Linked DNA regions of Neurospora crassa OR74A. The protein of the gene in region 2 binds, or shares a complex with, the protein of the main gene of each other region. Links are inferred from orthologs where the notes say so. Each region holds a gene or a part of one and is shown on either strand. Other genes may lie near its edges.

Region 1 (3,741 bases), on a different chromosome or scaffold from region 2:
CCCATGTTGTCAGTCAGCCAAAAGGCGATATAGCAGCTGTATTGATTGCCGTTGCCGTTGCCGTTGCCGTTGCCGTTGCCGTTTGCTGTCCTGGCTGCGAAGTGAAATGTGAAAAGACATTTGGGTATTACTGACTGCATGCAGATGTTGCGGAAAATAGGCATGAAGAACCAACATGCCTCCAACGAGGGGGAAGCATATCGAGTTGTGTACGGTCTACTATGTAGAGATGAGACGGGTAATTAAGGATGCATCATCATGGGCGGTTCTCTTAACTGTGGTTTGGCGGTTAACTTGATGATTTCAGCCCAGTCGTTTTTTAGGCAAACCGGACGAGTTTCTCTATCTTTATGCATAAGCAGCTCTGTTAAGGTGGAATGGATATCTATGAAGAGTTAACAAGAAACATACTTTTGGTAAGCCAGCAGTGTGGTCGAGTGTCTTCAGTGATGGTGCTTGAAGCTTCGGTTCCGTTATGAACTTCCCTTATCTTATCAAGTATATGAACCCACATCTGCAGTAGACACGGCAGAAGACGTTCCAGCTAGGGTTCACAAAGTTATATCGCAGGATCGTCATAAAGCGGGACGAGAGACGACATATTCGACGACTTTGATTCGGCGCCTGTACTGTGAGCCTTCATCCGTGTTGACATAAGGCTGTACTGTTTGCGTCTGGTCCCCTTATCTTATCGCCAGGCACGCTGTTGACTTTCGATAAGATCTACGTCTGGGATCAGTGGGATACGAATCTGGAGATTGGCATGGGAATGGAGTCATGGCCAGCAAGGTACACACGAGGCTGTGCGAAATCAAAGTGAACGCGACTGGAGCGCGTCGCAAACGGAGATTGTGTTGACAACTCGGGGTGATGTTTGGGTTTCAAGAAACGCAGGTGAAGATGACGTCGTATCATGACAAAGTAAACAAACACGAGTCGTAAACACTAGCCCAAGTTGGAATCAGTAACAGATAATTTGTCTTATCTGCCTTTTCTTGAGTTTGTACCAGCTCATCTTCCAAAACGGTGAGCAGGAACCTCAGGTCCGGGTATCAATCGACCATCAAGATCCGGGCGCGCTGTCGGTCGTAGAGTCGGATGTCTGCTACGGTGGAAATCCGTCGCTTCAACAAGTGGAGAGCAAGCTTCCAAGTGTTTTTACTTCTTTTGCTCAAAAGCGCATCTTCATTGTCCGTGTAAAGCTACGCCGATGAACCGAACCCCTGATATCATAAGCCTCCCATAACCGAAGTCGTATGTGCGAGAAACCGTCGCAGACCCATGCAAGCTTTGGAAGAACAAATTGGAAACGAGAGGTCATGACCAAACCAGAAGAAAGCCCCCTTTCTTCGCTTAGTCGAAGAGACCGAAGCCCATATCCTCGTCGGACTCCTCCTTCTCTGTAAAGTGCAAAACGCAGGTTAGTAACTAGCAGCAGCAGCAGCAGCAACAGCCCCGGGAAAGAGCTTGGGAGTAGATGATTCCACATACCCTCAACCTTCTCCTCAGCCTTGGCCTCCTCAGCGGCACCACCAGCGGCAGCGGCGCCAGCGGCAGCGGGGGCAGCGGCGGCACCACCGGAGCCGACGTTGGAAAGGAGGTCCTTCACATCCTTGCCCTCAAGAGCCTATTTTCGCAAAAGAGACTCCAGTCAGTTTATCGTGTTCGCGTTTCTCTCAAGATATCGTTTCTTTTTTTTTTCGGATTGTCGTCGTCGGTGGTTTCATCGTACCTTGGCGAAGAGGGAAGCCCAGATAGGCTCGACATCCTCGATCTTGGCAGCCTTGATGATGGTCTGGATCTTGTCGGCCTATATCATGCGAAAACGGGTTTGGTCAGTCAACATTGTTCCTCCCAATGTGCTTGTTCATATCACTCATTGTCCTCCACTCGGTTTGCCCCTCAATCCATGTTTCGTCATTTGTCCCGGTCGTTGAAAGCGCATGTCGAGCAATAACCGTGTGTACATGGCGCGCTTGAAACTGTCCCCAAACCCCGAATCCACCCAAATCTTGCCAACCAAAAGATCATGTGCATTGGTCGCAAACTCACAGTGATCTCAACGCCGTCATCGGCGAGGATGAGCGCCGCGTAGGAGGTAGCCAGCTCAGCAGTAGACATTTTGATGGTGTTGATTGTCGAGGCGCAAAGATGCTGAGTCTCGGGAGGGCTGTTCGATCGTGGGATGATGTCCTAGCTAGAAATTCGCGGGAAGTGAAATTTAATTAGTTGTGGGCAATTCAAAAAATGCCCTGGGACCCTACAAAGGCGGGCAGCTGGCAAGCGACTGGCAGCGGCTTGGATGCCAAGACTCTTTTGAGCTGCCGTTCTGCTTTTTGCCTGGTCTGTGCACGCTGGGAGATGGAAATGCAACAGCCCCACGATGTCACGGTCCAAACCAGCGGTTCAGTTCGCAACCCGAACCCGAGGGTTGGTGGTACTGTAGGTAGGACTGGGTGCAGGGCAGTGCTGCCCTGACTGCCGCTACCGCCCAACAGGCACGTGCTGGCCTCCAGGGCATTGCCGTCCCTCGCACTTGTACCGGATCGGGACGACTGATGTTCCCCCACCAGTTGACCATAGTGTATGGCCTGGAATTTGGGGAAGCACCTCATCGATTCAGGCCGGGCAGTTTGGCGCCCAGCCTTGCCAAGACGAGTGCCCTGGTCCGACAAGCTTTCCGCCAGGCCTCGACCCTTGTCGGCAAGAACCCCACCATTCCTTTGGCACTACACTATCTACCATGGAGCTCCTTCGCCCCGCCGCTATTCATGCATCCACTGACGTCGCCGCTGTGGATTCGGGGCGCCATAGGCCTCTTCTCCTGCCGTAGCGGAGTGCCTGCCGACACGCCAGCCCGTCCCGTCGGGTTGTCTCTGAGAAGCATCCATCTGCACCTATTTCAGCACTCAGTCCAGCAATTCCGCAAAAACCAACAAGAGTGAGATCAACAAGGGAAAGCGCACGAATCAGGAGGCAGCGTTCATCACTCTTGTCAACTCCTCCGTCGGAAAGGGGAAATACCATAGTACTTGGAGAAACGCCATCAACCGGACAAACAACTGAACTTGCATCCCGCTCTCTTTGCCATTGTTGAGGCGCATTACATTACATAGACCAAGTCTACTCCTTGGATCAAAGAAAGCTGGACTTGGACAAGGAATCGCCCGTTTCCAACATTCATTCCCTTGCTCCGGCAACACCATCCTTTTCCCAATTGCTTGGCTGCGTCTTTCCCATTCTCAACAATCCTTTCGCGCCTTTTCTTTTCCTTCAACCAACATCGACCCTCGAACGGCATCATCCAAGTAACGAAAACGAGCCAACTCTCAGACATCGCAACCGACTTCACCGACTTTTACCCATAAACACCCAACACAAAACAACACAACACAACACAATAAACACATAGCGACAATGGAGACTCCGGCGATGCCCATGCCGAAAGATGAGCGGGAACAAGCCATTCTCGACAAGCTCTCAGCCATCCGCGATCAGCTGCTGCTCCTCAAGAGAGACCGAACAAAATACATCCGCACTCAGGATGTGATTGTACACTATGATCAGGTTGTCGAGCAGGTCAAGGAACTCAACGAGATTAGGAAAGGGGAAAAGGTGACCGAGACCAGAGGTACGCCCATCCTCCATAGCCCATCCCAAGCTGCCAATTGAACAAGGAAAATCTAACACCACCCCCGTAGTCGACAGAGTCCTCGAGAGCTGCCTACAGCTCCTCTCCCT
Region 2 (3,711 bases):
CCGAAGGTGTTACTTTCACCTACGTCGCGCCCAGCGGTGACACAGACCTTACCGTCTGCGGTCTTCCCATCCAGTATGATGCCAGCAAAGGCAAGTAAATATATCATGGCTCACTCACAAGGAACCCTCACATCATCTTTGACTTGTATTTTTTCTCTCCACACCTATCTATATACTAACGCAATCTCTTACCCACGACGTAGCGTTCGCGAACAAGAAGGTCGTCCTCGTCGCCGTCCCCGGTGCCTTCACCCCCACCTGCCAGCAGCAGCACGTCCCCTCGTATCTGGCCAAGCTCGAGGAGTTCAAGTCCAAGGGCGTCGACCAAATCATCTTCATTGCCAGCAACGATGCGTGGGTGATGGCCGCTTGGGGCAAGGCCAACGGTGTTAAAGATGAGTCTATTGTAAGTAATAATTCATGTCCCTCCTGCCCCCCCTCACCACACCTAACTGACACGCAACGAATGTTTAGCTCTTTATGTCCGATGCCGACTGCAAGTTCAGCAAGAGCATCGGCTGGACCCAGGGTGACCGCACCAAGCGCTATGCTATTGTCATCGACCACGGCAAGGTTACCTACGCCGAGTTGGATGAGGTGCCTAAGAGCATCGCCAACACTGGTGCCGACGGTGTCCTGGCTAAGCTCTAAATAGAGAAAAAGGGGGCATGGAAAAGCCAAAGCAAAGAAACAAAACAAAGGCAAACAGTAATCATCTACACCGGCAAAACTCATATACTGTGGTTGGGAGCAAAAGTAGAAACCCCCCTGCCAGGCACTTTTTTGCACAGACAATATGTGTTCAATACCTGCTTTACCTAATTAGACTTACCCACCACACCAAGTAGAGAAGTAATAGGAACCAAAACAAATGTCAAGGGGAACGCGATGATAGTCGCGGGATACTCTTGTTGTGACTGGGTATTTGCTTGATAGAGTATCACGAGGTATAGAGAATAGAAGCCGCGTGATATGCCTTTTGCCCGCTGAAGCGCAGCGTTATATTATGATTGCCAGGTCCCTGTTCCTTCGTCCCAACGGCCCCAAAACTTTTTCTCGCCTCCCTAGTATCACAGGGAGGTGGGATATGGATTTTGTTCGTCTTTGACCAATGCATAAGTCGGCATTCTGTTAAGCTACCCATGCAAAGCGTTTGATGTCATATCCGTTAGACGCAGGGATCCATGCAACCGGCCCTTCCAGAAACCAAGCTGTTGTATTGTTTTCGTTAAACGAGACGAAAACCCTCCAGCTGAGTGCAGGCAAAAAAAAAGAACCGAGAACCGACCAGACCGACTCCGCGTATCCCTTCCAGCTTGCCACGCAGGACCGTAAAGACATTCCATTCTCCCTTCACATCATCGTGTCCCCCGACCGACAAGACCGCATTTAACGGGACTTGGCAGCGACCTTGACGGGCGCACCCTTGGCACCCTGCTTGGAGGTGACACGGGCCTTGGGGTTGGCAGCGTTCTTGGCCTTCTCAGCCTTCTTGGCGGCCTGAGTCTCCTGCTTCTTGGCCTTGGACTCCTTGATGGCGGCGAGACGAGCGGCGGAGCGGGCCTCAGGGCGCATGGAGCGGCGCTCCTTGATCACCTCGAGGGAGGCACCGACGATGGCACGCTGGGCCTTGACGGTACGGCGGGAGCGCTTCTTGGCGACCTCCTGTAATGGGTGTCAGTCATCTGCTTCGCGCAACGGTTTCCCCCCCATCGATCCCCTTCACCCAGTTGCGCGTGCGTCCAAAGTATCCGTATTCGCGATATCCCTCTCCGTCGAAGTCTCGAAGTCTTCGATATTGCTTCGGCAGAATCGGTAGAATAGGGGGCTGGTGACGGTGTGCGCAACGGGGGAAGAAGATTGGGCCCGAGTGCGGATATGTGGTTTCTTGCGTACCTCAGAGATACCCTTCTTGTGCTGGCGGCGGTAGAGGACAGTCCAGGCAATGCGGCGGGGGTTCTTGCGCTGGAGGAAAAGCGACTCGGACTTGCCGTTCTGGAAACGGAAGATCTTGCTGTCGCCACGGACGTACAGCTTACCCTAACGGTGTCAAAGAAAACATGTCAGCACTTTTATCACGGTGGCTGTATTTCCCTTCTCTTGTTGTTCTGGCTCGTCCTTCATGATCCCCCTCAATCAGAATATCGTTGACGTCGCGGGAACGAGATCCGTCAATATCTCTCCCTCGCTCTCGCAAAGTCGTTCCCTCCCCAAATCCAAGACCAAGACCAATTCCCCACGGGTTCAGATCCCGGTAGCATTTTCGAGCCGCAAATCATTTTGGACGGGCAAAAAAACCGTACCTTTCCAGGGTAGATCCTCTGGCCGGAGAAGGTATCGTCGTACGTTCTCATTGTGGCGGTTTGCTGTCGAGATTGTCGGTTGTCGGGAGATGCTTCCTCGAAGGTGCAATGTTCCAGCGTCGATTTTCCTCAATTTCTTTCCGCAGCGAGGTTGTGCGATAGGGCTGCCTTGTGATAGGCTGGCCGCACGGACCATGTGGTCCACTTCAGCGTTGGGGTGGCTCAAGTGGGCTGGCAGCGGGCTGGCAACGCGGGCAGGAACAATCGCCGCCACTTATCTGCCAGGTGGTCCGGGCTGTAGGACGTCATCCTCAAGCAAATCTATAGCCCAATTTACCATTAACAAGTGCGGAACGAACGAAGGGTATCTGGTTTACTTTTTGGTCGCGAAGCATCACCACTGTAATTTGCATGAACAAGGTACACTCACCTCGGAGTTCCGTCTGAAAACCTGTGTGATTTTTATGTTCTGCGTTCTGCGTCTGGTGCATGCGGTTTGCTCCATTGATTTTCCGTACTTCCACGTTACGAACTGGCTGTCAACGGCTAACCCCAACCCTTGTCAAACGACAAGTGCTTCATCATCAAAGTTTGGAGGTTGTCCCAAGTCAAGTCGTTCTTTCCAACGCATGCAAACATACGAAAACGTCAAAATTACACCGACCTTAACTTGCAAAGTTATAATGATTGATGCAGACGCAATTGCCTCTGCTGTGCTTGAAGAATTCAGCAAACTCCCCGCGAAACGGAAGCCCAGTGTCCGCGACAATGGTCTTCACGAATGGGTTCCTATGGCCGGCATTGTAGCCAAAGGTGCTGCTCGTTATGTGCCTGGAAGAAATCCAAACTCTTTACTGATACAATCTCTAGGCCCAAACGGACTGAAATGTGTAGCTTTGGCGTAAGTACGTACAATGGATCGCCGGGACCACTGAAGTGTCCAATGTGCCTCATGATCACGCAAGATAAGTCTGTTGCTGGAGCTAAGGATGGTTTGTTGGTCATAGAACAGGTATGAAGTGCCTTCCGGCATCCAAGCTGCCCCAAGCCAACGGAGTGGCCATTCATGACTGGCACGCCGAGATACTTGCTATACGAGCTTTCAACCGGTTCATCCTCGAAGAGTGTAAACGCCTCGCTCTTCAGGGGGATGGTGCATCGCAATCCGAGTTCATCTACCGAAGGATAACAACCCAACATGAAAACCAAGGACAGCAAGGAACAGCAGAAGTATGGCAAGGACAACCGTTCGCCTGGAGGGAAGATGTGAGCTTACACATGTACTGCTCCGAAGCGCCTTGTATGTGTGTCCCCGCTGCCCAAACCCCCCCTTCACCAGAGACGACTCGACCCCGGTAAAGCCCATGACTACTAACACACCAATCTACCAGGCGGGGACGCAAGCATG

The links.
Region 1: NCU03150 (region 2) and NCU08960 share a complex: the UniProt entries of both Saccharomyces cerevisiae proteins name them as parts of the large ribosomal subunit. The link is inferred for Neurospora crassa OR74A from reciprocal best matches to the Saccharomyces cerevisiae genes RPL24B and RPP1A.

Annotation. Positions count from the first base shown.
Region 1 is NC_026505.1:5,823,343-5,827,083, reverse strand, and holds NCU08960 (60S acidic ribosomal protein P1), read right to left. Parts: upstream 2,248-3,741; 5' UTR 2,122-2,247; coding exon 2,053-2,121; intron 1,811-2,052; coding exon 1,733-1,810; intron 1,628-1,732; coding exon 1,492-1,627; intron 1,401-1,491; coding exon 1,354-1,400; 3' UTR 541-1,353; downstream 1-540. Other genes in the region: NCU17037 (hypothetical protein), read left to right, coding at 2,248-2,442, 2,499-2,945; NCU08959 (hypothetical protein), read left to right, coding at 3,418-3,631, 3,702-3,741. UniProt on the Saccharomyces cerevisiae protein: Component of the ribosome, a large ribonucleoprotein complex responsible for the synthesis of proteins in the cell.
Region 2 is NC_026501.1:4,728,948-4,732,658, reverse strand, and holds NCU03150 (60S ribosomal protein L24), read right to left. Parts: upstream 2,514-3,711; 5' UTR 2,355-2,513; coding exon 2,304-2,354; intron 2,041-2,303; coding exon 1,897-2,040; intron 1,666-1,896; coding exon 1,390-1,665; 3' UTR 652-1,389; downstream 1-651. Other genes in the region: NCU03151 (peroxisomal membrane protein), read left to right, coding at 1-90, 204-406, 475-651; NCU03149 (tRNA-specific adenosine deaminase, variant), read left to right, coding at 3,318-3,603, 3,695-3,711.